Diceros bicornis minor: one gene and its partners. The main gene of each other region encodes a partner of the protein of the gene in region 2 in a complex. Links are inferred from orthologs where the notes say so. Each region holds a gene or a part of one and is shown on either strand. Other genes may lie near its edges.

Region 1 (7,960 bases), on a different chromosome or scaffold from region 2:
TGCTCTGCCTTCTGCGCAATCGCGGGACAGTGGCTAGCAGACCCCCTCTGCCCTCATCCTTGTCCGTCCTCTGCACACCTTCCGATTGGTATTTTAAATACAAACCCGACTGTACCAACCACAACCTCCCCTCTAAAACCTTCCAACAGCTTCCTATAAAGATTCTTGACGTGACCTGGCCCTGCCCACATCTCCAGACGAGTCCTTCATTCACTTCTTCCTTGCTCCCACCCTACCTCTGGGCCTTTGCGCGCGTGGTGCCTGCTTCCTGGAATGCTCTTTCTCCTCTAGGTCTGGCTAGCTTCGTTTCGTTCTTAGGTCTCAGCTCGCTTCCTCGGAGAAGCCTTCTGGACTTGCCACCGTCTTCCTTTTCTTTTTTTCGTGAGGAAGATCAGCCCTGAGCTAACATCTGATGCCAATCCTCCTCTCTTTTTTGCTGAGGCAGATTGGCCCTGGGCTAACCTTGTGCCCATCTTCCTCTATTTTATATGGGACGCTGCCATGCGTGGCTTGACAAGCCTATGTGGGGCGCGCCGGGATCAGAAGCTGCGAACCCTGGGCCGCCGCAGCGGAGTGGGCACTTCACCGCTGCGCCACCGGGCTGGCCCCACACGTTCCTCTTTGGTGGCTTCTCTTCGGCGAGCATGGAGAAAGAAGCTGGGAGGGAGGTGGTTCAGATCACACATCGCAGGACTCCGATCTCGCACCATCACAAGTGGCTTTGGGACGTTACTCCATCTCTGTGTCTTCCTCTTCTCGGCAGTGAAACAGGTGTGATGATAGTATCCTCAAGAAGTGGTAGCAGGGGCCAGCCCAGTGGCGTAGTGGTTAAGTTTGCACCCTCCGCTTCCGTGGCCTGGGGTTTGCTGGTTTGGAACCTCGGGCACCGCTCATCAAGCCATGCTGTGGCGGCATCCCACAACCAAAATAGAGGAAGACTGGCACAGATGTTAGCTCAGGAACAATCTTCCTCACACACACACACACACACACACACACACACACACAAAATGGTCGCAAAAAGTAGACATGTTGGTATGTGTAAGCCTGTTGTTCTAAAACACTGCTTGACATATAGCACTTGCTTTGCAGTGTTAGCCGTGATTATTTAGGACCCATTATTTCTTCATGACACGTTCCAGAATTGTAACTAAAGAGTTAATTCTGTAAACAGAAGGCAGGAACTCCCTGCAGACCCCACCATTGTGTCTCAAGTGCCTGGCACACAGTGGGTGGGCCGGAATCGCTCTGTCCCACATGGCTCAGGTCTGCCTCACCTGGAAGCACTTGAGCATCTTGACAGTGGCCAAACAGGAGGCCAGCCAACCATTGACTTCTGCACAACCCTCACCTCAAGTCCCAGCCCTCTACTCCTCTGAAGGTTCCTTGAGGAGAAAGGAAACCCCTCCCCTGGGGTCTCAGGCTCCCCTTCCCACATAGCCCTCTGGCTGGTGGAGACTCTGCCCTGGGGGAAGCAGCTTCCGTTCCCATTGTTATGAGGAGAGGTCTCCGCTTTCTCCACTCTTACTCCCAATGGGATAGAGGATTTTCCTTTGTATGACTAAAAGGCGCATTAAAGTGATTTTCTTTTCCTTCTCAAACTAAAGAATGGCCTCCTCCCAAAGATAAATCAGACAATTGGCTAACTTTTAAGAACAGCTTGTCCTGATTCCCCTCATCCAGGGTCCTTCCTCACTGGAGCACTCGGGCAGGCTGAGGCTCCTGGCACTGGAGATGCGCAGCAAATGGGAGCCTCCTGCCCAGAGGGGCCTCGCCAGGCTTCCTGGACTCCTGGAGAGACTCAGCTCCCTGCCTCTGGTCCCTGCTGGCTCCCTTTAGTGAATGTGGTTGTTGGGGGTGGGTGAGCTGCCAGCAGGAGCTGGACCCTACACAGCTTTCATTCAACTTCCAGGCGCTTTCCCAGTTCGCCTGAGCCAAAGGCAGAGTAGAGGCTTTCATAGCCCAGGTCGTGCAACCTCCCTGCCCCCTGAGACACACAAGACCCTTAGACTGGCAACCTCACCCCTCCACCCCACATCCCCTGTTCAGCCCCCCTCCCACACTCACGGCCTCTCACACTGACCCTCTGCAGAGCCTGACGCTCTGTCACAGAGTCATTCATTCACTCCTTCACTCGTCTACTGTTTATTGAGGGTTCAATATGTGGGATGCACTGTTCTAAATCCTGGGGATAAAGCAGTGATCAGACCCAGCCTCCACCCTTCCAGGAGCTGCTGGCATTGTGGGGAGAGGTAGATAAGTAAGCAGAACCCAGAAGGAGGCATGCCAAGGCTGTCTGGGAGAGGAATCCTAGCCCGTCTGCCCGTCACAGGCTCACTCTTTGGTTAACAATCTTTCACCAGTTGCATTTACAGTCTCTCTCTCAAAGACTTTCACACACACACACACACACACACACACACACACACACCCCTAGCAGGGGTTCAGAAGCCTGCCATTCTAAGATCCTGCCTTTAGCCTGCCTCTGCCTCAGTTTCTCCATCCAGAAAATGGGCACACTCCTGCCCCCTTTTCCCCAGGGGTGTTGGAAGAAGTGAATGAGTTAAGAGGTGGGAATGGGTTTCACCAGAACAGGAAGTAGGGAAGAAGTCCTTGCTTTGACTGAGCTCCCCTGTATACCAGGCATCATACAAGGTCAGGCAGTATATGGGCATTAAGTCCTTTGATCTTCCCGTCAGCCAAATGAGGGTAGGAGTCCTTAGCTCTGTTTTGCAGGTGAGGAAACAGAAGCTCAGGCAAATGGAATGACTTGTCTGAATTCACATAGCAAGTGAACAGAACTGAGATTGAACCCTAATCATTTGGGACAAAGAGAGAGAGCTCAGGGTGACTGTCCACAGAGCTGAGACTGTGGATGCTAACACATCGGCCCACTTTTTGCCCCCATCCTTACCTGTGACCCTGGAAGGTGGAGATTCACCTGAAGGGGAGGGTGTGTGGAGGCTGCGGCTGGGTATTGCTCTCCCTGCCCATTTGCAGTACTGATGGGGCACCTATGAAGCACCAGGCCCGAGGCTCCTGGAATGCCAGGCCGGGCCAGGAGGGGTTCCTGAGGCCATGCCCCGCCCCTCACCTGCCTGGGAGCAGAGTTGGGGGGAGGGGGCCGACGTTGCCTGGTGCCTACTGTATTGCTCTTGGATGGCAGCCGGGCCCTGGAACAGTGCAGCTCTTGTGCGGAAGGGCTGCCCTGAGCCCCTGCCCGGCCCCGCTCCAGCCCCAGCCCGGCCCCAGCCTCTGACCCAGTCCTGCGCTTTCTTGTCTTCTCTCCTTCATTTCTTTCTTTTAAAACAATTTGTATTTTCAGAAAGTTTTGAAATATAGAAAAAGTTACCCAGGGTAATAGCATACAGTGGCTACTCAGAATTGACAGTTGTTATTACTTTACCATTTTTTCCAACCCTTTTCTATCCTGGCTTCTCCCACAGGCTCCGGGGGGGCCTGGCCTGGCTCATTAAAATTGAGGTGACGTTGACAGCAACTGAGTGGTGAAATATTGGGTGTTAGAGGCAGATAGATGTGGGTTTGAATCCTGAAAACTTTGTAACCTTGGACAAGTCACTTAACTTTAAGCTTCAGTTTCATTTTCTATAAAATGGGAATGATGGCTCTTCTGTGAGGACTCAGTGTGGTGCTGCATATAAAGCTTAATGCACACAGCCATGTTCAGTAAAGAGTGGCAGATATTCATATTAACAACGATGGTCCAGGGTGGGACCCACCTGAAGGTATGGGAAACTCACTCCTGTGACCAAGAGGGAAGAATGTGAGGGTCACCCTCTCCAGCCCTCAAATCTCCGCATTCCCCACCCCTTGGGCACATCTATGTCGAATTTCTACTCTGGAGACAACAAAGCCATGAATTGCAGGCTGCCCAGGGCATTGTGGTGGAGGCCGGGAGCCTGGCGTTGATGTCGGCAGCCTGGGAGAGCTCTTGGGGAGGCCCCTCAGAACAAGCCAGATGGAGGGGAATGGGCTAGGAGGGATCTGAGGCTCTCTCTGGGCTAGTCCTGGTGCTACCCAGCATCTCAGCAGCTCCCCTGGTCCCCTTGTTCCCTGGTCCCAGATACTGTGGGCCCATGTCCTGGCTTATTTGGACAGGGAGTGTCTGGGGCTTTCATGGTTTGCCAGACTCAGCTCTCTCTAGACTTGGGCCTACAAACCTCACATCCCCTGGATCTTGGCATGCACATTTGTTTGGAGGAGGGAGGGGGCCAGGACACCTGGGAAGTGGCAGAGGCTGGGCAGGAAGTGCTAGAGGGTTTGTGGTCTGAAGGGAATCAGGAAACAAGCCCCAGAGGGGCCCTCACCCTTCTCTATCTTGCCTAATGCTCACCTGGACCACATAGGATTTTGTTTGGGCACAAATAACAAGGGCTTAAACAAAACAGGGGTTTATTCATCCCTCACTTAGCCCCAAGTCTGGAGGTGGGTGAAAGTGGGTCTGAAGTCAGAGTTGCAGTCTCTTCAATTCTCTAGACTTTTCCCTCATGGTTTCAAGTTGGTGGCTTCAGCTCCTGCCATCACATTTGTGCTCATGCAGGAGGAAGAAAGAAGCCACAAAAGGGTTGAATCTGCACCCAGCAACTTCTGATTTTATTTATCTCCTTGGCCAGACTGTGACACATGGCCAGGAAGCATGTTTATTCTGCTGGACGCATTGCCTCCCCTAACAAAACCAGGGCTTTAATAGAGTAAAAAGAAGGATTGATTGACTGTGGGGCAGGCACCCAACAGTCTCTGCGTCACCAAGCTCATCAGCAGCCCCAATGGCTTCTTTAAATCACAGACCTAACCGAGTCAACCCTCAGCTTTGACTACTCTCTTCTCACCACCCACGGGCATCCCCAGCTCCTCAGAGCGGCACTCAGGGCCCCTGGCCTCTGCTGCTCTCTCCCGGGCCGTCTCCCCTCTCGCCAGAGACACGTGCTCTGTTTCCGGCTGCACTGAGCTCCAGCAGGCCCTCCTGAGCATGCCCAATGTTCACAGCTCTGTGCCTTTGCCCTTGCTGCTTTTGCTGCTGCCAGTGCCTCTCTGGCTCCCTCCAGCCATCCCCCCAGGTGCCTGCCATTCCTTTTTCTGGACTCCTCTCATGCATTCCTTCTTCTCTGAGACCCTCCCTGACCACCATGAACTGGACATCTAAACCCTCTTCCTCTCTCTGGAAACAGCCCCTCAATTTTCTTTGAGGTCCTGGCTCTCTCCTACTCCCAGTCCGCTGGGGTTTTGGGTGGAGCCAACACTTCTCCCTGGCTCCTATGGTGGGCATGTGCCCCTGGACTTGGCTAATGAGAAGATTCCATCCCCCAGGCTATTGTGATTGGGTCAGAGATGAACATGTGACCCAAGCAGGGCCAACGAGAGCCAGTCTGGGCCTTTTATTGGAACTAGTGGGAAACTAACATGCTCAGAGGTTACTGAGGTATGACTATGGAAGCCTAGAACTACTTGAGACAGCCTGCCTGTGAATGAAGCCAACACAGGAAACAAGAGGGCCAGGAGATGCAGCATGCCTGGATCCAGCCATGCCTGAGGCCAAAATTACCTCTTTGAACATTTCATTTATATGAGTGAAATAATTTTTTTCTTAAGCTAATCTGACCTTTTTTTTTTAACTCTATAGATGAAAGGCTCCTAAAAAGTGTCCTCCCCAGTAGAAATTACCCCGTCCTCCTCTGTGTCTCTACTATCCTCTGTCGGCTCCTAGGCCATAGTATTCATCTGTTTACATGTCAGCAAATTCATCATGTCATTGCTCTTATTTGTTTAAAAGCTTTCAATGCCTTCCCATTGCTTTTAGGATAAAAACTTGTATTAGTTATCTGTTACTGCATAACAAACTACCCCAAAACTTAATGGCTTAAAGTAACAAATATTTGGCCAGCTGTTGGCAGGAGACCTCCATTGCCTTTCACATGAGCCTCTGCACAGGGCTGCTTGAGTGTCCTCATGATATGTGGGCTGGTGCCCCTCAGAGCTGGTGAGCCAAGAGGAGACTGACATTGTGCTGTCTTGCACAAGTTCCTCTCAGAAGTCACACTCAATCATTTTCACCTTCTTCTAATTGTCAGGAGTGAGTCACTAATTACAGCCCTCATGGGGGCAGGGAATGGGGTAGGGGGAGAGGAGATGAAACTTGACTTCTTGAAGAGAGGAATATAAAAAATTTTGCAGACATATTTTAGAACCACCACAAGACGAGCTCTTACCCTGGCATTTGTCATCTGAACCCTTTTCTAGGTTTGGGAATATCCCCATTTTATGTGGCAGAGTTCACCTCTCATGACAGAAGCCGAAAATGCTAGCTACTCCTCCAATCTCTCTTCCAGCTAAGGCTCAGTTCTGCGAAATCATGGCATCCATTCCAGAAAACCAAAGATGCCCAGGAGTTGGGCTAGGGAGGCCCAGGAGGAATGTTCCCTGGTGGGGCCATGGTAACAGGACTGAGCTCTTGGGCATGGGGCACTGGGAGCCTGTCCAGTCTCCAGGCTGGCTGGGCTAGTGGTACAGGCAGTAGTGTCCAGTGCTTAGTGTTGGTGGAGACAAAGGTGTCCTTTCTGCACCCGTTCTGTGATGTGATACAGGGGGATGCTGGTCGTGTACCCCGACCCTAGTTCTTTAGTCCTCTTGGTAGTTCCGTGAACTTAAACAAGCTGGAGTTTGTTTCTGTTGCTTTTTGCTGAAAATCTTGATGTGTCCTGAGGAACTTGGCTCCTGCCAGTCTCTCTCCTTACTTGGTGACACACTATCCCTCCTTCCAGGTGAAAAGCATCTTCTTGCCTCAGGGCCTTGGCACATGCTGTTCCCTCTACCTGGAACATCTCCCTTCACCTCTCTCCCCTCACCCACCGGCTAACTTGTATTCATCCTCCAAATCTCAGTTTGAGTCACTTCCTCAGGGGAACTTTCCTGCCCCACTCCCAGCCTTAGGCTCAGTCTTCCTATTATATGCAGCACTTTATCACAATTGTAATGAGTCATTTGTACCCATGAGGTCCTCCAGGACAAAGATTGTCTCTCATTCCAGGGCCCTGACATACAGTAGGGGCTGAGGAAAAATAAATTCCCTTTCCCACATTCTTTAAGGACCTCTGTCTTACCCTAACAACTCTCTGACAGGGACTGCTCAGCCCTTATCAAACTCTCTGACCCTCAAGGAACATTTTCATTCATTTGCAACTCACAGATATCCCAACTCAAATGGGCTTAAGCAAGATAGTGAATTTATTGGGTTATACAATTTTAAAGTCCAAGAGTGGATTTGGCTTCAGGAACAGCTAGATCAAGACCAATTCTCTCTTCTGCTTTCTTCCCTATGGCTCTATTCTGTGGCAGATGCTCCCCAAGAGGTGACAAAGAAGGCTGTCAACAGCTCTGGGCTCAAGATCTTCCCATTTAGCAACTCCTTCCCCATAGTTCTAGCAGAAGCCAGGAAGGTAGAGGTCATCCCCACCCAGACCACATAAGCTGAGGGTGGGGGTCCTCAAGGTAATCCTATTACAGGAAGAAAGGTAAATAGATACCAGGAGGCCAAAACAAGATATGGTTACTATACTTGGTGATTCCGGGAGCCTTTATTGAATAATAAGCCATCCCCGAATGTAGTGATTTAAAACACTTTGTTATTGCTCATGATTCTGTGGATTAGCTGGGGTCAGCTCAGCAGTTCTGCTGGTCTCTCCTGAGGTCACTTATGCTGGTGGCTCCACTGTGCTGGAGGGTCTAAGATGGCCTCCTTCACATGTATGGAGCTAGCTGCTGGCCTTTCTCTCCGCGTGGTCTCTCACCTCCACGTGTTCTGGCCCAGACTTCCTTTCACAAGCGGCAAGAGTGGAAGCTGCAAGGTCTGAGTCCTACCTAGCCTTGGGCATTGCACAATGTCACATCACTGCATTCTCTCATCAAAGCAAGTCTCAAGGCCAGTCCAGATTCAAGGGGTTGG
Region 2 (7,194 bases):
AACAGCAATATCTAAGCCCCCGCTAAAATGCTCTATTACCAAAATCTGCAGATCATGTTTTATCTTTTCAAATAAGGTCAAAACTTCCCTATCTCCCTCCCCCCAACACATATACCAAGAAAGAACACTGAAAACAGGATGAAAATATCTCATACGAAAAAACTAAGATACCTTCTTTGATAATGAGAACTTACTTCTTCCTAAGATACAGGAATGACTAAATTCCAAACCAAAGAAATTCGAAAGCAAAATTAATATTTTACAGCAACTAGCATTTTGTTTGCAGCATCAGCAAAACCAAGGATCCACTTGTTACTAATTTCTTATGAATACAAAGTCCACTGCATTTCTGGGAAAGATGGTTAGTGTTTGGCAAGTTTTTTCTGTAAGGATACAGAAATATAACTGAAAAGTTAATCAAAGGGCCGAGAGTGGGCACACGAATAAAAAGCATGTTGGCTATTTAAAATAGCAGAGTACCAGAAAGCTCCTCAGTCCCAACTCCTTATCGTATAAATGAAATGATCACATAAGTCACTATAATAACAACTGACGACTTCCGTATACATACAGAGTTTATTACATGCACTCTAAAAAGAGAATTTGCATGACTTAAATCTAAAGTAGTGATTTTGCAGAAATGGTCTCTTAGGTCCTCCAGCTGGTCCACAAATCTCTTATTTGTTTCTGGTATGAACTGAAATTTGCTTATGTTTTCTTCAAAAGAGGAGCCAATTCTTCCCATAGTTTTTCTATCATCAACGATAAACAGGTGGTGTTTGGAGTCTTGATTCTTTAAAAGGACTGACAGACTGAAAAAGTTTATTACCATTGCTCTAAAGTATCTTAATGAAAAGATACATATCAAAAGGAAATCACTAAAATCACATTTATTTTTTCATCAAAGTCCAACATTCTTTTATGATCTGTAGCAAACAGTTTTTGTGGAGCTAACATACAATCTAATTTAGCCATTATTACAACATTACCGGCAGCTCAGAGCACTAAGTCAGCTCAACAGCCCAGCACTGTTCTGCCTCAGTTACCTATGGCTTCAATTATAAGTGTGCAGAAGTGGTCTTTGTCTTGAATTTGTTCAAAATATGTAATTTAATTCTAAATTTAAAAATAGGTCTTCCAGTAGGCCCACAAATCACCAAAATACAGTACCAGAAGTTACCCATTTAAAGTTTCATGCAAATGTCTGCACATACACATAAAATATTCTCTCATGATACAAAACTCTATGAAGTGTACCAACACTGACATTATTATAAATGATCCCCCAAATCAATGGGACCTAATCTTGAACACTAAGTAAAGGAGAAAAAGGAGGAAGAATTATTTGAGAGACAACTTTATCATGGCATGTCAGTACTTCCTGCTGTCAAAATGTATTAAGCCTTTTACACAAGGGTGTTAAAATCAATTTTGTCAGCTAATAATCTCATCCCCGAGGAATCCTTTCAATTGGAGAGAGCATCCTGGAAATACAGTTGTTGTAAGACACAATCTACATTACCCTGTAGCTGTTTCTGTATTTTTATGGCTAGCTTTGCTTAAGAATGTGTAAGGAGTCTTCAGACTCCTGATGATTCAGTCAAGTTGGTGGATGCAGCAGTCCCCTGCCACAGAAGGAACTCCCAAAGACAGTTTAAACTCTCCCAGAAGATGGGATTTTGACACCTTCGCATTTGCTGCAGTGTGAACTTGTGCCACAAGCAACACAGATCTTACAGGATTTACATTGAACTCATGACATCACCACAAACTCTAGCAGAGTAATGCTATTTGTGCGGCTTCCGAACAAACTCGTGTCTTTCATCCCTCCTCATCTCCCTGTAGCTACTACTCGTAAATTCTCCCCGCCTCACCTCTAGGAATTCCCCTAGACCCAGAGAAAGGAGCTCCCTCCTCTCACTGAAGAAACTGATTCTAATTTCTTTTTGACGAATGTGCGCCAAAGGGCACTCACTCGCGCGCCCAACGCGGGATCTCCCTCCCATTCCCAACTCCACGCCTTCCAAGGGAAGCCCAAGCTGTTCATTTCCCCTCGGGGGGCAATTCTAGGTGACCTCACAAACTTGGTCAAATGGAGCCTTGTCTGAGCTGGAGGCTCAGGCACCCCTCTTGCCCCTGGCGTCTCCAGGGGCCCTCTCCCCGCGTGACCCTCCGCCTGGCCCCTCGAACTCACCAGGAGGAGGTTGTGCGCCACCAGGTACCCGAGCTGCGGGCTGCCCCGGACGCCAGGGGCCAGGCGCCCTGTGGCATAGCCGTGCCAGGCCACCACGTAGGGGTTGTCGATGGTGATCCAATACTTGACCTGGCCGCCGAAGTGGCGGAAACAGAGCTCGGCGTAATCTCTGAAGTGGTCGGCCAGGGCGCGGTTGGCCCAGCCGCCGTAGGCGTCCTGCAGGCGCTGGGGCAGGTCCCAGTGGTACAGGGTGACCACGGGCTGCACGCCCAGCTCCCGCAGCCGCTCCAGCAAGCGCCGGTAGTAGCGCAGCCCCTCGCGGTTTGGGGCGCCCGCGCTGCCATTGGGGAGCACTCGCGCCCACGAGATGGAGAAGCGGTAGTGAGTGACCCCGAGTTCACGCAACCCCTCCGTGTCTCGGAAGACGTTGTTGTAGCCGTCGCTGGCCACGTCCCCGGTGGCAGGTGGGGACGGCGAGGGGGCGCCCGTCGGTAGGCCGGCTACCAGGGGACCGCCTAAGGGCGCCGGGGGTTGGTGGGTGAACGTGTCCCAGATGGACGCGCCCTTGCCGTGCTGCTGCCAGCCGCCCTCCGTCTGGTAGGCGGCGCTGCCCACGGCCCAGAGGAAGCCGTCGGGGAAGGTGTCGTGGATGAGGCCCGCGGCCTCGGGGGCCGGAGGGCGCGCGAAGCGGGCCCAGGTCTGCTCCCCGTCGCCGGGCTCGGCGCGCAGGCGGCGGCCGCCCAGGGCCAGCAGCAGGAGCAGCGGCAGCGGCAGGGGCGGCGGCGGCCGCGGGCGGCGCGGCGGGGCGCGGGCGGGCATGCTGCGCGGGAGCCGGGCGCTGGGGCGCCGCGCTGCGCCCCTTTATGCCCGCGCCCCGCCGCGCCGCCCGCCCCCCGCCGGCGCGCCCACCCCCGCTTCCCCGGCGGGCCCTGCTGACAATAATTACCTGCGAGCCGGCGCCTCCCCTACCCTGGAATCGGGGGGGACGGGCTGGGGGAGGGCGGGGGCGCAAAGGGCGATGGGGTGTCCCGGGAGGGGGCGCGACAGCGGGCAAGGTGCAGCAGGCGCCACTCCCGGACGTCGGAGAAAAGGCACCTGTTCCTCGCTGCGCCCGGGAGCCGCTGAGGATGGCTCGGCGACGCAAGTTCTCTCCGCGCCGCCTTCTCTCTCCCATCCGCGCTCCTTCCTGGAAGAAGCCGCGGAGCCGGTGCGCGTCGAGGAGGGAAGGCGGCCAACCAACTTGCCCCGAGTTGGGCGCATCTTTGCCTGCCCTCGCGGAGTCCGCCGGCCGGGAAGCACCTGCTTCCTCTTTTCTCCCACTCGGAGGCCGAGAAAAGCTTTAGATCGACATTGCTAGAGCCGATTAGGAGTTGGCTGAAAGCGTATTGGGAGGGCACGATGAGGAGAGCTAGGTCGGAACTTGGAATGTTGTGAGAGGACTCGTGGCGGACTTTCCCTTAAGGTCTTTGGGTCAGATGCTCGCGTGGGGAGCCACCCCCCTCGCGCAGGGCTGGATGGCCCGTCCTCCAGGCTCCAATCTAGGAAGCCTTGGAGTAAGACAGAGGAGATGTATGGGTTGTGTTGAAACTTTGCTGTACTGTCCTTCTTACTCTTATCTTTTAACCATTTCAAACCAGTACTTGTTCTTGAATTAGATCTTGCAGAATTACTTGGTGAACTTCAAATGACAGTTGTTGATTGTTCTTCTAAAAACAAACAAAAAACAAAACACCAAGGTTTCGACTTTGAGTGACTGTCATTCACATTTATTATCCTTTTGCATCTGTTTTATGAATAATCACGTTTTAGCTTTCAGCAAGTAACTTATCTGGGCAAAGTTGTGCACGCTGCTGTGCTGGAGCTGGAGGACCCTGGATCCCACGTATGCCACCGGAACTGTGAAGGGAAAGGGGCGGAGGGATTTAGCCCAAGCAACCACGCCCACCCTTTACGACAAAACAGAGTCGTGACGTTTTTCCAGTCGCCAAAGAGCGCTTTTGACAGAAGTTACGGAGGCACAGCGTCCATTTGAATGTGTGTATATAAGATTGGTGAATAACTGATGTACATTTGATGAGGAGAGGAAGGCCTGGACTTCGCCTTTGTGGATACAGTCTCTCCTAGCCTTAGGATCCTCATCTATACTGTGTCTGCTCTGCCACCTTAGAGGCTTGTGAAGCTCAAACGAAAAAAAAAAAAGTGCGCAAAGATGCCCCAAAATGGAAAGCGCAGATAAATGTGAGATCTTGCTACTATCTTTGCTTCTCTTTCCAGAACGGTGTGCCTCAGTCCGGCACACGTGCTCATGTGTTGAATGACTAAGATCCTCACAGAGGTACACCCATTTTCCTCCAGTGATCATCTCTGCGCTGTTTCATACATATTTAAAATCAATAAAGTTTTAAATGTTGCAGATGAAGGTACTTTTTAATTTCCTTAAAATGTAAGCACAACAAATGTGTTCCAATATTTTATTAAATATTGCCATCTCCAGCTAGCATATATTAGCATGATTAGTAAGATTAAGCCATCAGGCTGGAACAAGACTTATTGCTATTCTGTTACATGTGACATTTACATTTTTCAATAAATATGAAATAACAAACAATGACACTTCAGCAATTAAAAAAAATTACACCACACAACTGCACAGTCACAAACACTCTCTTCCAGCTAAATTAAAAAGCTTCTATGTCTGCATGCAGAATCATATTTCCCTTCTAGAGCTGAAGATGAGAATGTTTGCTGCATAGTAGCTTGTTAAGTTTCAATTAGAAATGCTTCATGGGTCTCATGGAAAATACCTTCGGCTAAGTATTCATGAATTGATGTATGGTCTGTTGGCTCAGGGCAGATTATATCTACGGCTACTTTTATTTAGCATATAAAATATAATAAAATAAATATTTTACAAGAATAAAAAAAGAGGATTTTTTTTTAGAGCAGTGATTAAAAAGAAGGACCAAGTTGACTAAACGCTTCACACTTGAAGTTCATCTCTCTGAGGGGGATATAAAGTACATGTATCTCCTAAGTTGGACATCAAAGCTTTCAACATTTGCAGAGATGTTGCCAGGTGATAGTTAATTTAACCCAATAATAAAGATTACATGATAATTAAACTTTATTTCCAGAACTTGCCATTTTTCAAGGTTCAGTTCATGGTTATTAAGTCCTGGATTCCTGAAGTGTGAATAACTGCCACTACTGCTTCTCATTTATTCGGTTTACTTTGGTTCTTATCTCTCACAGCCACCTCAAACATCTAAAATGTGGGTTTCATTCAAAGCTTTGTTCTCCCACAAATAAGAGATTATTACTTGCTGTACTTTGAATATGAAGATGAGATTATTGATGCATCAAAAGGAAGGAAATTTTTTAAATTAATTTTCTTAATTGAAGTAACATTGGTTTATAACATTATATAAATTTCATGTGTACATCATTATATTTCGATTTCTGTGAAGACTACATCATATTCACCACCCAAAGTCTAATTGCCATCCATCACTGTATGCGTGTGCCCTTTTACTCCTTTCACCCGCCCCCTTCCCCCCTTCCCGTCTGGTAACCACCAAGCTAATCTCTATATCTATGTGTTTGCTTCTTGTTGTTTTTAGCTTCCACATATGAGTGAAATCATACAGTATTTGGCTAGGAAAGGAATTTTTAAATTTACTTACTGCCTTTTGTGGTGTGATGATGTTCAACAACCTAAAGGTGGTCATCAGGCTGACCATCATCCACATTCCTTCCTCTAGGCCCTTTTCACCCGTTCTTCTCCTTGTGCACCTGGGACCACCAGACCCCGCCCCTGCAGAGGGAGCAGAAGGAGGTTCGCTGACTCACATGGGCCCAAACACAACACCAACCACACGAGCTCTCAGCTCACCAGTCACAGACATTCAGCATCTATGGGGAGGTACTGAGATCGTCAACAGCAGTCTCTCTGAGCAACAACCATGCGCAAGGCAACTGGGAGGTGCTTAAGATGTCAAGACATAGACAACAACCCCTGCCCTCAAGACAGTCCTGGATTGGAGACACAGGACAAAGAAAGTTGTTAACAAATTAATTGTTTAGTTTTTTATGTTGAGTGTTAACAAAAGACACACATGCTAGCTATTAAAGAAATTCAGAGGAAGGAGAAATTACCCTATTTTGAATTGCTTGGAAAAGTTTCACAGAGAAGATGCGACAATATCTGGGTTTTAAAGAGTAAAACTTGCGTGGAGACCTGGAGGCAAGGATAATAGGGAAGCAAAACATGGCAGAAAAAAGTTTTCACAGTGTATTTGTGGTAAAAAAGAAAAATAATGTCTATTTGACTGTGCGAGGAAATAGTGGACTGAAAAGGTAGGTAGGGTCAAACCAGAAAGAATCTTCAGTAGTTTTATCATTATATCACATCAGAGCCTCTACCTTCATTTACTCATTAAACAAATATTGGCTTTGTGCCAAGCCCTATTCTAGGCACTGGGAATGGAACAATTAACAAGAGACCAACAACCTCTGCCCTCCTCTTACAGCACACTCCCCACTGTCTACTCTGATCCAGATACACTCGCCTCCTGGTTGTCTTTGGAACAAGCTAAAGTGGCTCCCAACCTCAGGGGCTGTGACTGGCTGTTCACTGTCTCCAAGGTGCTGTTCACTGGACCACCTGCTTTTCCTTGGTCAGGTGTCAGAGCAAAAGCCACATCCTGAGAGCAGCCTTCTTTGACCTCTCCTTCCAAATTAGTTACCCCCAGTCTCTCTCAATGACAATGTCCTGTCTCATTTTCCTCACAGAGCTTATGACTATCTCAAATTGTTTGTCTACTTGTTTATTTCCTTTATCCCCAACTAGAATGTAAGCTCCATGAGAATAGGCATCTGGCTTTTTCTTTGCAGTATCTACAGCATCTAGAATAATGCCTGCACATTGTAGGTGCTACACACATATTTGTGGAATTAATGAATGAATCCACTGGTAAGAGATGGCTGAAGAACATTGTCAA
Region 3 (7,415 bases), on a different chromosome or scaffold from region 2:
GACTGGCTCAGTGCAGGGGCTCAGAGGCCAGAAGTCCAGCCTCGGGCTCAGCCCAGGTTAATGAACCACCCAGAGGCCTGTGGGGCTCAAAGTCCAGCCCAGATGAGGAGGGGGTGGGGGAGGTTGCAGCCAGCGCCTTCCCAGGAAATGCCCTGCACCCCTCAGAGACCCCTCCTGGCTGGGTGGGGTCAGACCACAGAGGGAGCCGCCGCTCATCAACCTTCCTGGTGGTGGGGGGCCCTGCCCAAGAACATGGCCCCCTGTGGAGATGGAGGCTGCCCTGGTAGGGCCTGGGATGGCCAACGCAGTGCAGTGGCGGACACCTTCCCTGCGGTCCTTGACCCCAGCCAGCTCCAGCTCCATCATTTATGTTTCCCGGGAAAGTGCCAGCCGGGACCTCTGTAAATTTCATGACGTCTTTGTATTTTTACTGCCTGGCCTGTCTCCTTAAGGAACCGGATTAAGTTTATTGACCTATCAACTCACTACCTGTTTTGCCAGCTCTACTGCAAAGGCGGCTGGGGGGGCGAGTTCTGGCGGAGGGAGAAGGCCCTGTGCCCCCTACCTGCGCCCCCTGGGGGGTCCTCTAGCAGCTCTGCCCCAGGCCCGCATCTGGTGGGGCACCACAGGCTTTGCGCCCCAGGACCCGGATTCGCAGGCTCTGTCAGTGCCCAAAGGGGGGATGGAGGGGACCACTGACCCCTCCGTGAGCCACAGGGGGTCCAGGAGAGGGTCTGGAGCCCCGCCCACTGCCCCCTCCCCCGGGGCTAGTTGACATTCCTGGACGGTAGGGAGTAATATCTTCATCTGAATGCGAATGCTAATGCGGGGCTCCCCCCGCGGCAGCCTATTCTGCGCCCCTGGAAGCGGGGGCCGCCCGAGCAGGCGGTAAAAGCGCGCGCTGACCTCCCGACGGCCCCTGTCACGCCGCTGAATGACACGCACATTCAAGCGCCCGGCCCACGTTCATTCATAAAAAAATGACATTGTTTCGGAGGCTGCAGCCGCCGCTGGAGAAAGGGGCGCGGGGGCGCGGGGAGGGGCGGGCCGCCATCTGCCTGCGTCCTGCCCGAGGCCACCGCCTCCCTGGCACTGCGCGCCCGCAGCCTCTCAACTCACACCTCCCCGTGAGGCTGCCGCGGCGGCCGCCATCAATGCTCGGTCTGTGGCCGCGCCGAGGTACAAAGAAGCGGCTGTTCGGGTCTCGCCCGGGTGGGGCGTGCGCTCACCAGGCGAAGGCCTCCCTCCACGCGGCCGCCGGCCCGGCAAAGGGGTGCGCGCAGCACCCTCGCCAGCGCCGGTCCTCCCAGCGCCCCGCGGCTGGCTGTGCCCAGGGGCCAGGACGCCCCTCTGCCCGGCCGCCGGGAGCCTAGCCGCGCGTGTGAGAGGCGGCACCGGAGCGCTCGGCCGGGCCGGCGGGGGGCCGCGTGCGGCCGCACCTCGAGGACCGCGGCGCGTGTGCGGGGCGGGGCCCGGAGCAAAGACACGCTCCCGCCCCTCCCCTGCCCTCGCCCCGCCGGCCCTCCTCACAGACCCTCAACGTCCCGCCGGACCTTGACCGCGAGCTGGGGTCTGCGGCTCCACGTCTCTCGGACATCCGCCCTCTCACCTCCGGGCGCCCCGCCTGGCGTTCGATGCGCACCCCCAGGCAGCAGACACGTTCATCCACAGGGCAGGAGAGCAAGGTGGGGAAACGGAGGCACTGGAAGGTGTCACCTCGTCATGCAGGCCACTGGGGGGCAGGGACCAGGCCGTGCGCTGACGCCCTCTCATACCCTCCCTCCAAAGTCCGGCCTCAGGCTTTGGCCGAAGCTGGCCATGAACTGGGGCTCGAAGGGGGTTCGAGGGAAAGGCACCAACAATAGGAACTTTCCGTCAGTGCAGAACCCGCCGAGCAACAATGGGAATCCTGGAGACGCAGCCCCGCGCCCTCCCGACGGCGCCTAGGGACAGGCTGCGCCCCACTGGGGAACCGCGGGGGCGGGGGCTGCGGACGCCACCGCGGTGCCCAGCTCCCCGCCGCAGCTTCGAACTTGGGTGGTAGCCCTGCGGCTCCAGGCGCCCCACAAACTGCCGCGCCAGCTCTGGCCGCGATCCCCGGGGAGGGAGGGTGGTAGAAACCCAGACACTGGTCCCGTGGTGCCAGCCCAGGGCGTGCCCTCGGGCCCACTCAGATCCGGCGCCCCCCATCCACCCAGGCGCCCGTTCTCGGGCCCAGACGCCTCTGCCTGTGAGGCCCCAGGCCCCTCCCTGCACCCGTCGAGTCCTTCCTTACCTGCCGCTCTCCGCACGACGCGCTGCTCCGTGCCCGGGGGTCCCGAAGTGGCGCCGGTCACGACGGCCACAGCCACGCAGAGCGCGAGGGCGCAAGCAGGGGCGCCCATCGCGGGGGCGGGAGTTACGGCGTCTTCAGGCGGCGCGCGCGGGCATGCTGCCCCCCATGGCCCGGCTCTGGCACCGGCGGGAGGAGGGCGCCGCTCGGGAGTCTGCGGGAGGAGGCGGGCAGCTCGTTACCCAGGCGGGCCGGAGCGCTCAGGGGCGGAAGCGGCAGTGGCCCGGCTCCGGAGCTCCGGCCCCTCCGACCCCCGGCCGCCCCGCCCGCCGCCGCCGCCCAGGGCTCCCGGGCCGCCTGGCGCCGGCCGCCTCCTCCCCGCCGCGGTCCCTCCCTCCCTCCCCCTTTCCTCCCTGGCTGCTGCAGAGCCCTCCCAGGGCGGCGGCGGCGGCGGCGGCAAACTTTCCAGAGCGGGAAGCCCGCGCCCCGGCCGGGCCCCGCCGCAGAGACCGCTCGGGATCCGAGTCCGCCGCGCGCTCTGGCCCCGCCGCGCGCCCGCCGGACCTCTCCGCGCTCGCCCGGCCCCCGCGCACCAACCTGGCGGCGGCCGGCGCCCGACTCGCTGAGCGCGGCTCTCGCTCAGGCTCGCTGCCTGCCGGCCCAGCGCCTGCTCCCCGTCCCCCGGCCGTCGGCTCGCCGGTGTGTCCGTGCGCCCGGCTCAGCAGGACCGCGCGGCGCCAGCTGCCCGCGCCGCCGCCGCCTCCGCCGCCGCGCACTGAGCCCCGGCGGCCCGGCGCGCGGCAGCCAGTGGGGGCCGGCCCGCGCCCGACCCGCCCCGGCCACGCCCCTCCCCGGCCACGCCCGCCCCGACTCGCTGGGGCACGGGGACATGCCCCTCCCCTGGGGCGGTCTGGGGGCGGGGCCGCGACTCTCCTTGCCCCCGCCCGCGGAGGGGATTAGAGGGGGCGGGGCCGGGCGGGGGCGCCGGGCGGTCTCGGAGGGCGTGGGAGCCCGAGCTGGGCGGACGAGGGCCCCAGTCGCACCGCTGGGCCGCGCGCAGAGGGCGGCCCCGCGCTGGGCAGGCGCACAGAGAGGCCGAAAGCAGGCCTCTATTTGCACAGCGCGCAGTCCAGGTTACCACCCGCCGTGGGTCAGGGGCTCAGGCTGGGGAACCCCGGGGCATAGAGAGGGGTGGTCTTGGTGAGAGAAGCATGTCAGAGAGGCTTCACGGAGAAGTACCTGCTCCAGCTGAACCCTGAGGTGTGGGCAGCCCATCTCAGGTGGAGGAGCGCAGGACGGCACCCGGGTCGGGTCGGGGGAACTGTATATGCAAAGGCCTGGGGGTGAAGGACAGGTCGGCCTGTTTGCCTGGGGCTGGAATGCAAGGGGACTGCACCCCAGAAGCTGTGGGCTCACTGCTGCATTTATTAAGCACCTGTGGCACACATGTAGCTAAGCTGCTTGAGTTCTCTGCCAGGGGGGTTATTACTCCTGCTCCCCTAAGAGGAAATAAGTTTGGGGATTGGGTGCTTGCCAGGCATCAGAATGGAGAGCAGGGGCTGGGGCCCCAGCTAGGGGAGGCCAACCTTAGGGCTCTGAGGAAGGACAAGGTGGGAGCCTGAGCTGGCCGGAGGTGTGCCAGGTCCTGGTGCACTGCAGCGTGGGACAGATTCAAGCTAGGGAGGACTCAGTGTGACTGGCCTCTGTGCACACCTTCACAAGGAAGAGGGCTCTTCTCCCACTTCCACACAAGCCCAGGGGGGCTGGGAGCCTACAGGAGCCAGAGACGGGAGAGAGTGACACCTGGGCAAGGCTCGGGGCTGCCCCACCCGAGGGCCTCTGGCCCACCTGGCTTGTGGCTTTTGGGACTTGGTTTGCTCCTCAGGAAATGGGCAATGAAAGCCTCTCTGTGACTGGCTGCTCAAGCCACCCCGCAGCTCCAGGCGCAGCAGCCGTGCGAGAGGCCAGCCTGGAGACACTCCAGCCTCTGAGGCCAGACTGGAGGGCCCTAGAAGGACCCCACCCCCAGGTAGTCCTCACTCCTAGCCTCTGTGCCCACCTGGCAGATCAGCACCTCTGCCATATGCCGCTCTTGGTGCCTGCTCTGGTCAAGCCTGTGTCCCCCAGACTGGCCAGGGGCCTGCTGAACCCCAGTGGGCTGTCCAGACCCCTCCAAGGCCACCCCCACCTAGGTCCTCTCCTGGGGTATCATCCCAGGGGCCACAGTGGCACATTCTGCTCTAATCTATTAACCAGTCACTTAACTAATCAGTTACTTAATATGCCGATGGGTGTGGACTGCTGTCCCTCTTGGCCCCCTTCCTCTGGGGGCCTGGGTCAGGTTTGCCCTCCAGATTCCTTTGTGGCAAGATATAGCCTGTGGTGGGGCAGGGAGGAGGGGCCACCTGAGGGATGGTCTCCCATGGGACCCTTCTGAGGCCCAAGAAGGGCTCTGCATCGTCCGCTGTGGGTCCTCTCCCAGGACGGTGCCCACAGCCCCTGCCTGGACCCCCTAAGAAGGGTGTCCTGCGTGCCCTGGTCTCTCAGAGATGAGCATCCATCCATCTTTGTGCAAGCAGCTTTCTGCTTCATGGCCCTCAGTTCTGTCTCCTTGGCAGAAGTGCCCATGGGGGATCGTGGGCCTGTTCTAGCTGTTCCTTACGTGCCCCCCACCCCTTCTCCCCTCCATCCCCACAAGCCTGACCCCACACACGACATCGCAGGCTCCCTTGCTTTCCAGCTTCTGTGTGGGTTTGTCCACTTGTGTCCTGTTCCCTCTCAGGCCTGCAGGGTAGGGGATAAGCCTCTCTCTTCCTCCAGTAACAGGCCTGGGGTGACCCCCCGGGTACTTCACACCCTGTATTCTTTTCCTAGGGCTGCTATGACGATTACCACAAACTCGCTCACAGTCTGGAGGCCAGAATTCTGAGATCAAGGTGTCAGCAGGGCCGTGCTCCCTCTGGAGGCTCTAGGGGAAAGTTCTTCCTGCCTCTTCCTGCCTCTGGTGGCTCCAGGGGTTCCTTGGCTTGTGGCCACATCTCTCCAATCTCTGCCTCCATAGTCACTCAGCCATCTCCACTTCCTGTCTCTTATAAAGACACTTGTCATTGGATGTCAGGCCAACCCTGATAATGCCAGATGATCTCCTGTCTCAGGAGCTTAACTTAATGACAGCCACAAAAACCTTTTTTCCAAATAAGTTCACTTTCCCAGGTTCTGAGGGTCAGGATGTGGACCTATCTTTTGGGGACCCCCACTCTGTCCTCCATATACCCCATGGTGGCTGGTTCCTTTGGTGCCGCCCACAGTCTGAAGTGGTCCAGGGGCACTGTCTGGTGGCATTTAGGTCAAAGGTCAAGAGCATTTTCATGGCTCTTGGCTGATTCTGCCAAATTCCTTCCAAAGGGTCTGAGCACTGCCCGTTACTAACACCCAAGGAGTTGTTGCCCACTTTGTGCCCACCCCCACCACCAGGGGAGGGCATTGCTTGAAGGCATTGTTATTGTTATTGACAAATGATTTTATTGTTCACAATTATTGTTTCCAAGGCAACATGGTCAACTGGAATGGAGCATGGTGTTGTTTCACAGGCCTTCCCTTGACATCGGGGCGAGGCCTGTTGTTCATGATACCTTCTGCACCGTTTCCAATTTTGGCAATGCTTTCTATCAATTAGCCATTAGTAGCCACTATTTGCTCAGAGCCCCCTTGATGGAGCATCTCCCCCAAGACCCTTTGCAGTGTTACCTGGCTCTGTCTTCCTGGCGCTCTGCTGAGATGGGACCTCCTTGGGCCCCCTGGACAGGTGAGCAAGGTGTAAAGGGGGTGGAGAGCCTGCTGAGGGCCAGTGGTGGTGGAAGGGTCCCTGGGTTGGCCAGCCCTGCCTGCAAGGGACTTCCACACTGCCTGACGCCCCTTCAGTGTTCACGTCTCCCTGTCCACTCCCCCCACACCCACCCCGTCTCCCAAGGCCCACACCCCCTGGGTCCTGAGTGAAGGTGAGTGTGGGAGGCTGAGGGCGCGGCAAGAGTCGGGGGGCTGACCGGCCCAGCCCGTTGGTGACTCAGAGCTGGGCGGCCCAGCTTGCTGGGGCCTGTGCGGTGAGCGAGAAGGGGATGCCGTGGGAGGGGAGCGGCTGCAGTGTGCCGAGCACAGGGGTCATGGCAGGCTGTCAGCAGCCGGCCAGCATCCACACCTCCTCACCTCCTGCTGCCGGGCCTGGGCTGATGCTGAGGACGTGGCAGTGAGGTGTGCAGTGGGGACGTTCCTGTGTGGCTGTGAATCCACATCCCACCTGCTATCCACAGCACTCCTGGTAGGCAGCGGATGTCTTGGTACCCGATGGGTGCCCATCAAGGCCAGCACTGGGCCTGGCACGCAGGGCAGGGGGAGCCCCCAAACAAAGCCTCCAACTCAGCGCCCCATCCGGGATGGAGTGCCTGGCCCAGAGGTGGGGCTGCTGTGGGGAGCTTCCCTCTGCCCTGTCACAGGCTGAGTGCAGAGATGGGGGAAGCTGAGGCCCCAAGAGAGCTTCAAGTCTCCTCAGCCCAGTCCACCCTTCCAGGAGGCTCTTGGGACCCCCCAGGAGGGCTGCTCGATCTCCTTCTGGGAGCGCCCCATCTCTCAACATGCATCCCGGCCTTCTCTGGAAACCACTGCTACCCCTCCTGCTGGAAGGGCACAGGGCTGGGCCTCAGGGAGGGCAGGCTACCACGGGATGGAGGGGGGGGGCCCTCAACACCCCCACTGAGCTGGGCTGGCTGATCCCCTCCCGCCAAAGAAGAAAGAGCAGATTGGAGAAAGGCTGTGGCTGTTGTAATTCGTGCCGTTTTAATTTACTCTCAGAAAATTTGAGGAGGATTAAAATAAAAAGCACAATTGATTTGCTCATTATAACAGAAATGAAATTTTAAAGAACATGAAGAAGAGAAAATATTCCAAAATCTGTTGGCCAACACTAGCTACTGTACAAGATCCTTAATTTTAGCTCTGAGCTTCCTGGCAGGCTGAGCAAAAAGGGCAACACCATGAATCATGTGCTGTTGGGATGCTGTCTTCTTGGATGTGTTGTGACAGCCTCAGTCCAAACATTCTCGCCTTTTTGCGCCTTGGTTCACTCAGACTGCGAGACCTCAGATCCTGC
Region 4 (7,825 bases), on a different chromosome or scaffold from region 2:
GAATCATTTACCTCCTTTGGTTGTCTTGAGGATGTAATGAGATAATATTTTTATCCACTATAAAAGCACTTTCTAAATGCTAGAAATGTCTACTGTTGCTATTTCGCCTCAACCTCTGCTATAAAAGTAGAAATTTATCTGCCCCTTTCTATTCTCATAGCCAGTAAATGATAAATAAGATGATAGATATAAAGTGCTTTGAGCTCCCCAAAAGAAAGAGCCCGAGGATAATTCAGCTTCAAGTAAAGAAAGTGCCAGTGGGGAAGGTCGAGGAAGTAAAAACATCAGGATCTAGGAAGTGTATTAACCAGGGGTAATAAGCATCTCCTTTCTGCCGTTTCCACAAGGTGAGAATGACAGGGCGTGGGAGGGCGGCCTCATTCATAGTGGGCAGCTGACATAGACACTGGAGCGGCTCCATGACATCAGCGCTGCCAGTCCCAAGAGAGGTCCTGGAATCTTGTAGGCAGATAATTTCACAAAACCCAAAGATGATTAATCAGGAATTTACTAAAGCACCATAATCAAGTGAACCAGATTTCACTGGAAACTTATAATTAATTAAGGGGGAAAAATCACCCCACATCTTTCCATCAGTGTAAATGCATTGTTTTACATTCCTTGGGGAGAATCTTTCACCAGTCTGTTAAATACTTGTGCCACCCATCTATACGCATCAGTGTTTCCTCTTTCCTTTTTTGGTAACTTTTTATCTTAGTGTATAAATTTTTTTTTGGTAATACACATGATAACTGATTTGAATAGTACAAAAGGTGTTATAAACTAGGAAGTGTCTCCTTCCCACCACGCTGACCTGCGTTCCCCTCCCCATGTTTGTGTTAATTTCCAGAGACACAATGCTTAGCTAGTGTCTATACCTGACAAAACAAAATCACATTTCTGTAAAAAAAAAAAATTCTGAAATCAGTTCAATTCATTTTGCTTCTTCTCAGTCATTTTAATTCAGTCCAACTAGTCCTTAGTGCCTCCTCTGGGCCCGACGCCGGTGGATATTTGAGAGCAAAGTTCTACAAATCAGTACCACTCACAGCCCACACAGCAGGTTGCACTGCTGTGCTCTTTGTCTTGTTCAGGAGGACATGTCTTTGGAGGGTTCCTTTCAGTGAAGGGATTCCATGATTCTAGACAAGTATTATAAGCATTCTTTAGTTGTATGAAGCCCTTTCCATCTATGGGAATCACAATAATTTACCACAATCCACTATCCCGCATTTTAAATCACCTATCATCTTGCAGTGGAAGCAAGAGTGGCCCTCCAGGCGAGGTGCAAAATTATATTTCCTAAAAGTCTGATAATAAGCTGGGAGACAAGAAGGGATGAAAGATCGTGAGGTGTCTGAAGGGCTGTGTCTTCTTGTGCAGTCACAGAGCTTTGCACAATGTCAGACATATTGGAGGTTCTGTTAAATATCGATGGAATAAAAGGAGCAACACTTTGGATGCATCGAATGTATCCAGACTTATTGCTAATGACTCGAACTTGGCTTCCAAGATGTTGACTCTAGAATCCTAGTATATCCCTTTGAGTTCTGGAACCCACTTGGTATTTGGAAATACCTTTTCTCCCTCCTCTCATCTCCTATGACCATCCATTGAGCACCCGGACGGGTGTGAACTCTTGGCTTTGCATGTGCATATATCTTGCCACCAGGTTTAAGGACCTTTGATTCTTAGCAGAATGAATGCCTTACACAGAAAGGCCACAGCAAAATTGCTGATTAATTCAGTACAACAATAAAGAGCAAATCATTATTCCTATAAGAAGTTTTCTTTAATTAAAAGACTATGGTTACTCTTTCATTACTTTAATTTGATCTATATTGAATCAGTTTGCATTTTTCTTATCCTTAGAGTGATTTTTAGATGTTTTCCTAAAATAGAAGACCTTGTCTTTTTCAATATCTCTCCCCCCGCCCACCTCATTATCCCTTATATAGGTGCACACCAAGGGGCCCTCATTTGAATCATAGCTAATTGATTGATTATTGTGGATTGTGATCCAACTTTCCACAAACCTAATCTTGAAAACATTCCAGTTGTCTCATGTTGCCAAGGTGTTCCCAACTAGCTCAATTTGCTACCGAGTGGAACTTTCAGCTCCACAGAGATGAATCACCAACTCATACCAAACTGGGTACTTCTGAAGCCCCCAGTAAACCTGTTGGATGGAAGGATGCATGGATGCATGGACAGATGAGTGCATGGATGATTCATGCACTTGGTCAGGCTCATCAAGACAATATACCTGAACAGTCTGTCTTTAGTACATTTTTCCTGAGAATTTTTATAAGGCTAGAATACTAGAAGCTCAGAGTTGGAAAGAGCCCCTGAGTTCATCTATTCTAACCCTTGGTCTGATACAGGAATCTTCTTTACAACCTCCATTGCTAACCCAGTCCAAAGTTCATGAGCTAAAACGGGATGTCTATTGATCTACCTGGCTTCTTTTCCTCTCAGCCTCTTTGCCTTTCTTTCTGTACATTTTTTGACTCTTTGGACAGGACAAAGAGAAAGTGGCTGCTAGTGTGGGAAGAGGGATTTTTGTTAAGATAGAAATTATTCATGTTGGGAGAAACCAGTAAACACTAATTAGGGATGTGGCAGAATCTTCTCCCAAGGTGTAAAAATACACACACACACACACACACACACACACACACACACATACATAAGTGGATCCTGGGCAAGAAACTGGATTAGTCTTCTGGTCCAGCCCAAGGCAGCCCCAAGTCCATTGTAGCTGGATGGACAGAGGAGCTCCCCCTTCTTCCCAGCCTGAATGAAGCCCCTACTCACTGTAGATGGTCTGCTGGGGTGTGCCATCCACATGGCCGTCCTTGTGGATCTGCAGGTGGTAGCTGTTCCTGGCTGTGGCCGTGTACAGGTGGATCAGGCCAGCCCAGCTGGAGCTGAGCAGCGGGGAGGCGTTGGGATAGGCTCTCACTACAGAGCACAGGATGCAGACTAAGAGCCCAAGGCAGGCCCCCGACATCGCCACTCTCTGAATGGCTGGCACGGAGTTTGAAACCTGACACTGCCTCCTCCACTCAAGGCTGTGCCTTGCTGGCCTTTTCTCCTCTTCTTCCTTGTGGATATCTGGCGTGAGGATCCTAGGCTGGATTCCCTCCTTTTTCCCCTTGGACTTTTAAAGGGTAGCCGTGTGACATCAAACAGGAAAAACTCCACTGTCCACATCCTCTGTGTTGTAATCAGCCCATTTGGAGAGAGTGCAGAGACCTCTGAGGCTCACGGAAGGCACGTCGGTTCCAGACACACACACACCCCTCAATTTCAAGCCAACGCTCCAAAAAGTGAATGATGTGTGGGCAAAAGTTATCTCGGACTCTGGATTGTCTGTTGACCTGTCCCAACTTCCACCAGGAAATGTGAAGGCAGTCAGCGGTTCCGAAAAAAATCCAGCTTCAGCTATGCAGTCAACTGACTTCTATGCAATTAATCTCCTATTGAGTCTACTCATTTTGGTTTTCTCAGTCCTTTTAATTCCAATCGGGGACTATGTATCCAGTGCTCTCTCTGTACACAGCACTAGGTGGGTGTTTTGAAGGATACTGAAATAATACAGGACACCATCAGGCAAATGGCATCCTCCAAGACTGCCTCCTCATAAAGATATGGAAGCTGTGAGCAGAGGCACAAAAACCAACGTTGCCTCCTTGGGAAGATTTCAAAATGGGAGGAAAGAAAACAAGGTCTTGAAGTCACTGCTGCTTTATGAAATGCTGGGATTTGATTTCTCAGTTTCCCTAATTTGGACTGTCTAGGGAGAGTAAACTGCTCTTATTGTCTCTCCAATACTATGGAGACTCATTCAGAGACCTCATGAAGATTGGAAGGCTGCTGACGGAGCACAGGGGATCAGAGACCAGGAAGGTCCCAGGAGCAGAGCAGCAGGCCAGGATGTCCCCACAGTTAGTGTCTACTGGGTGCCTGGCTCCTGGGCCTGGATGCTTTCTTGCAGATGCTGCTCACAGGTATGCCCTCTGGGAAGCTACTTCTGATGTAGGGGGATAGTCCTAGCACATGCAGTCCAACGGGGAGCAAACTACTGGAACACATACTGGAAACGTATATGCACACGGAGACTGCTACTCTACCCATTTCCCATTTGCTGAGTACATACCATGTGCAGGCATCAGGCATCATGGTTGAGAGAAGGGGGAGCAAGATGTGATCATTGCTTCAAGGAGCTCACAAGCTAATGGAGGAGGCAGATTAAAATAAGTAACCGTCATACAAAGCACACTGGGATGTGCGATCACACAGGTGCAGGCAAAAAGAAGTGCCATTTGTTATCCTACATTTGTACGAGTTTTTCTAGTTTATGAAGCATTTTCACATATATTAGCTCATTTGAATCTCACTGCAACTCTGTGAGATAGGCACACCAGGCATTATCAATATTTTAATCTTATACATGAAGAAATGGAGATCTTGGGGTTTGTATGTCCAAAGTCACGCAGCAAATAAATGGGAGAGCTAGGACAAGGTCTTCTGCAATAATAATCACAGTGACAACTAACATTTACTGAGAGCTTACCAGGTGGTTTACTTGTAGTAACTCATTTAATCTTCATAACAGCCCTGTGAGGAGGTGCTGCTGTTTCCTTTACAGAGACGAGGAAACTGGTGTCCACAGTTTAAGTAACGTGCCCACAGGTGTGCAGCCACTATGCAGAAGAGGTCGGGCCTGAAGCTGGGCAGCCCGACTCCAGAGCTCCTAAGCACCGCTGGATGTATAAACCCACACAGCGTGTTAGGGCCGAAGCCGCGAGAGCCAGGAGCCTGGTAAGAGAGTGCAAGGAGCAGCGGGGCCATTGACAAACCAATAGTACTCTTTGGTTTTTCTCTAGTAAAACCAGGATGTGTCTCTAAGATACAGAGTGTTGTCTCCCCCGGTTAGGTAGAAGATTTAGGACATTTAAATGCTTATGTATAAGACAGTCTTCTTTCATAATGGTCACAGTATGGTTCATAAATATAGTACCACATCTTAGCTAACGAAGAAATAGCCAGCTTTCAGAATTGAAATGCAAATCATTCAGGAACATTTGCCAATTGATACCCCTACATTTCCTCTTCTGGTTTCGAGTGGTAGAGGTGGGAAGTACTTGTGAAACAATCAGCACGTATTGAGAAACTTCTCCGAGCAAGAGAGAAGGGAAGAGGGAGTTATAGGAATAAAAAGCAGAACAAACTTATCCTCAAGGGGGTTATAATACAATTGAGCGGAGAAAAACTTGGTTCAATATAAGGCGCTTGTGAGAGGAGCTGAATTACTAGATGTGTAAGAAATGCTAAGGGCGTTCAGAAAAGGGGGAGTTTTCGGTGGGTGGACACTGTGGTTAAGGAGGGCTTGGAGGGAAGAGAGACTCGAGGGAGCCTTGTAGGATGGACAGGCAGGGCGTTTCCCAGCACCCCAAGGCACGCTGGGGCGGGAGTGCAGGTGTCTTGGGAGGAGGGCATGGGCATCGTTCCATTCCTGGGCTGATTGAGGGGGACCGTCCCTGGCCTCTTCAGCTTGTCTTGTTAGGAAAGAGAACTGATGTGCCAGCTTATTCCGCTTCCAAAGACTTCCCTCCAGGAAGAAGCCCTGAATGCCTAGCAGCCGAATCTGAAGCAGAGGACAGCCCAGGGGAGCAGGTTTATTTATGAAGGGAATGGGGGAGGAGAGAAGCATTCCCCACTTGACGAGAGTAAAAGAAGGTACAACACTACTAGAATAATTCTTTCCACCTGAGATATAGGAAATTGAGAGCAGAGACGAGGATTTGCCTGTCAGCATGCAGACAGCAGAATTTCCAGCTCCTGGTTGAACTCCCTACCTGAGGGTTCCAAAGCTGGCTGCCCGTTAGAACCACAGAAACTACCCCAGGACTAATCTTAGACCTACTGAACATGCAGAGGTGAAGCCCAGTTATTTGCACTTTTTTTCAAATCTACCTGGGAGAGTCTAATCCCCCACACTAGATGTTAATGACGCTAAAGTACTTGTCAAGAAACAGACTTTGCATCCCAACCATGCACTGGAATTAGTACACAGAAACCAAGGCCGCTTCTCCATTTGCCACTCCCTTCTGGGATTTCCAGCCTAACTGGGCAGGGTAAGATGTGAACGGTCCTTTCCAGGAAATTTTAGTACTGAACACCAAATCAGTACACTGTGCCTTTGATCCTTGAGCCTGGTGGGTGTGGCATCTCTCAGAAGCATCAGATGGTGAGGGAAGGGAGGGCCCAGGGTAAGTTGGTTTCTGTTCTTTGCATCTAGAGGGCATTCATCTGTCACAGTTCAGGTCGGAGGATCTGGGAGCTAGTGTGACCTTAGGAGCCAAATATGAAACACTGACGGGAGCAGGAAGCCCGGGGAGGAGGCTGGTGGTTTGTGGTTTTCAATATCGCTGGCCTTGGGGCCCTGGTGGCTGCCTGGGAGGTGGCAGGTGGGGACACCTGCTCTTCTCCAGCCTGCCCCACAAGCCACTGCTCCGGCTTCAGGAAAATTTGCCCTGGGGGGCTGCGTAGGGGCCTCTGGTCCAGTCCCTGCATTTACAACCACAGAATCAAGGCTTTAAATATGGGATGGAGGCTATAGGAATCTATATTCCCACAATCCCATTCCTTTCCCTTATCCTCTGACTTCTTTCTCTCACAGTCCTCTCTGGGAAGGTACTAAGGATTATCTCCCCAGATCACATTCTCTCCATGTGAAGACTTTTCAACAATTTTCAAAATATAACGTGTCTTGACTGCTGTGAGGCTGTGATGAAAACATGTTGGAGGCATCAGGGTGAAAGAGCACCGGGAGCAGGGAGGTGATCTTAGGGTGGCTCACGGTTTCCTTTTCTTCTTGAGGCTCTGTGTGAAGGCTCCGTCTGCAGATGGTAGGACCTGGCAGGCCTCTGCTCCCTATTGCGACCTCGTCATGCTTTGTCTCCGTCATTTCCACAACGGTTTCACCGTCATCTGGCTCATCCGGTCCCTAGGTTCAGGCAGGTGGGTGTCTAAGCCATCCAGGACAAATGATTGTTTCCTCTCTTTTCAAAGTTATCTGGGAGGTGCTACAGTCTTCCTGAAAATGCCACTCCCATATCTTATTCTCAGTTAAATATTCTCAGTAATTAAATACTCTCAAACATTTGCTATTCTTATTAAAAAAAAAAACCTTTTATGCTCTGTGTGAAGTGTAAAACAGGTGGCAACGTTTCGTGTTACACATTTGAGAATCGAGGCTTATTTTAAAAAGGGTGAAGTAAATAGCAGTAAAATGCCTAGCCTTCTCATCAACAGTCATTACCGACCTATCCGTGTCAATATTCATAAACTTACCAGATAACTGGAAGTTTGAGCCTGGTGGGTTGCGGCGTCTTACCAGAAGCTGGTAATATGATTATTAATTTATTAATAAATTTATTTCTTAATTATAAATTTATTAATAAATTAAATATTACCATGCAGTATTTAATTTATTTAACTCAGTTAAAATGTGCTTCCTTATATGCAATCAGATTCTTTCTTGTTCTAATATATCCACTCAATCAACATGTAACTATTTAGAGAAAGCCTATTTTTATGGCTAGTACTTTGTAGAAAATCTTTAGAGAAGCCTAAGAATGAAAAAGTACAGTCCTGGTCTTCCAAGTGTTTACAATGTACAGGGCAGAATTTAGTGTGGATTTGCCCAGCCCTTCACAACCTACAATGCACATTCACACCTAGTGTCTCATTTGATGCTCAAAACAGTCCTGGGAGGTGGACTAGGAAGTCTAGACCCGATACCTCCCGTGGGGTC

What was found.
Region 1: the proteins of KL (region 2) and FGFR4 are in contact, whole or in part, in a cryo-EM structure (PDB 7YSW), measured with the Homo sapiens proteins. The link is inferred for Diceros bicornis minor from reciprocal best matches to the Homo sapiens genes KL and FGFR4. Residues at the interface, in NP_004786.2 of Homo sapiens: Ser539, Gln540, Phe541, Thr542, Asp543, Asn545, Val546, Tyr547, Leu548, Trp549, Asp550, Val551, His553, Ser554, Lys555, Arg556, Leu557, Ile558, Val563, Thr565, Arg568, Tyr571, Val573, Ala576, Gln579, Pro580, Glu625, Arg628; in NP_001341913.1 of Homo sapiens: Asp266, Gln282, Leu284, His286, Ile287, Ile289, Gly295, Ala296, Asp297, Gly298, Phe299, Pro300, Tyr301, Val302, Gln303, Val304, Leu305, Lys306, Asn311, Ser312, Glu314, Leu318, Tyr319, Leu320, Arg321, Asn322, Asp327, Thr332, Leu334, Leu341.
Region 3: the proteins of KL (region 2) and FGFR3 are in contact, whole or in part, in a cryo-EM structure (PDB 7YSU), measured with the Homo sapiens proteins. The link is inferred for Diceros bicornis minor from reciprocal best matches to the Homo sapiens genes KL and FGFR3. Residues at the interface, in NP_004786.2 of Homo sapiens: Ser539, Gln540, Phe541, Thr542, Asp543, Asn545, Val546, Tyr547, Leu548, Trp549, Asp550, Val551, Ser554, Lys555, Arg556, Leu557, Val563, Lys566, Arg568, Tyr571, Val573, Ala576, Pro580; in NP_000133.1 of Homo sapiens: Gln286, Leu288, His290, Val291, Val293, Gly299, Thr303, Pro304, Tyr305, Val306, Thr307, Val308, Leu309, Lys310, Glu320, Leu324, Ser325, Leu326, His327, Asn328, Val329, Glu332, Asp333, Thr338, Leu340, Phe347, His349.
Region 4: the proteins of KL (region 2) and FGF23 are in contact, whole or in part, in a cryo-EM structure (PDB 7YSH), measured with the Homo sapiens proteins. The link is inferred for Diceros bicornis minor from reciprocal best matches to the Homo sapiens genes KL and FGF23. Residues at the interface, in NP_004786.2 of Homo sapiens: Phe377, Lys385, Leu389, Glu390, Pro392, Trp417, Phe418, Ser420, Lys429, Tyr432, Tyr433, Lys436, Phe437, Arg468, Ser471, Ile472, Arg556, Arg693, Asn694, Met695, Thr696, Tyr697, Ile735, Val752, Phe755, Asp756, Asn782, Asn783, Leu785, Ile812; in NP_065689.1 of Homo sapiens: Leu39, Met74, Ala80, Val88, Arg91, Leu166, Ile167, Phe169, Asn170, Ile173, Arg175, His177, Asp184, Ser185, Glu186, Arg187, Asp188, Pro189, Leu190, Asn191, Val192, Leu193, Lys194, Pro195, Arg196, Ala197, Arg198, Met199, Thr200, Pro201.

Annotation. Positions count from the first base shown.
Region 1 is NC_080740.1:90,307,531-90,315,490, reverse strand, and holds the start of FGFR4 (fibroblast growth factor receptor 4), read right to left. Parts: upstream 3,005-7,960; 5' UTR 2,915-3,004; intron 292-2,914; exon of another isoform or gene 237-291; intron 1-236. UniProt on the Homo sapiens protein: Tyrosine-protein kinase that acts as a cell-surface receptor for fibroblast growth factors and plays a role in the regulation of cell proliferation, differentiation and migration, and in regulation of lipid metabolism, bile acid biosynthesis, glucose uptake, vitamin D metabolism and phosphate homeostasis.
Region 2 is NC_080748.1:15,775,769-15,782,962, reverse strand, and holds the start of KL (klotho), read right to left. Parts: upstream 3,014-7,194; coding exon 2,195-3,013; intron 1-2,194. UniProt on the Homo sapiens protein: May have weak glycosidase activity towards glucuronylated steroids. However, it lacks essential active site Glu residues at positions 239 and 872, suggesting it may be inactive as a glycosidase in vivo.
Region 3 is NC_080747.1:1,167,756-1,175,170, reverse strand, and holds the start of FGFR3 (fibroblast growth factor receptor 3), read right to left. Parts: upstream 3,011-7,415; 5' UTR 2,870-3,010; intron 2,487-2,869; 5' UTR 2,385-2,486; coding exon 2,276-2,384; intron 1-2,275.
Region 4 is NC_080756.1:57,137,437-57,145,261, reverse strand, and holds the start of FGF23 (fibroblast growth factor 23), read right to left. Parts: upstream 3,014-7,825; coding exon 2,818-3,013; intron 1-2,817. UniProt on the Homo sapiens protein: Regulator of phosphate homeostasis. Inhibits renal tubular phosphate transport by reducing SLC34A1 levels. Up-regulates EGR1 expression in the presence of KL. Acts directly on the parathyroid to decrease PTH secretion. Regulator of vitamin-D metabolism.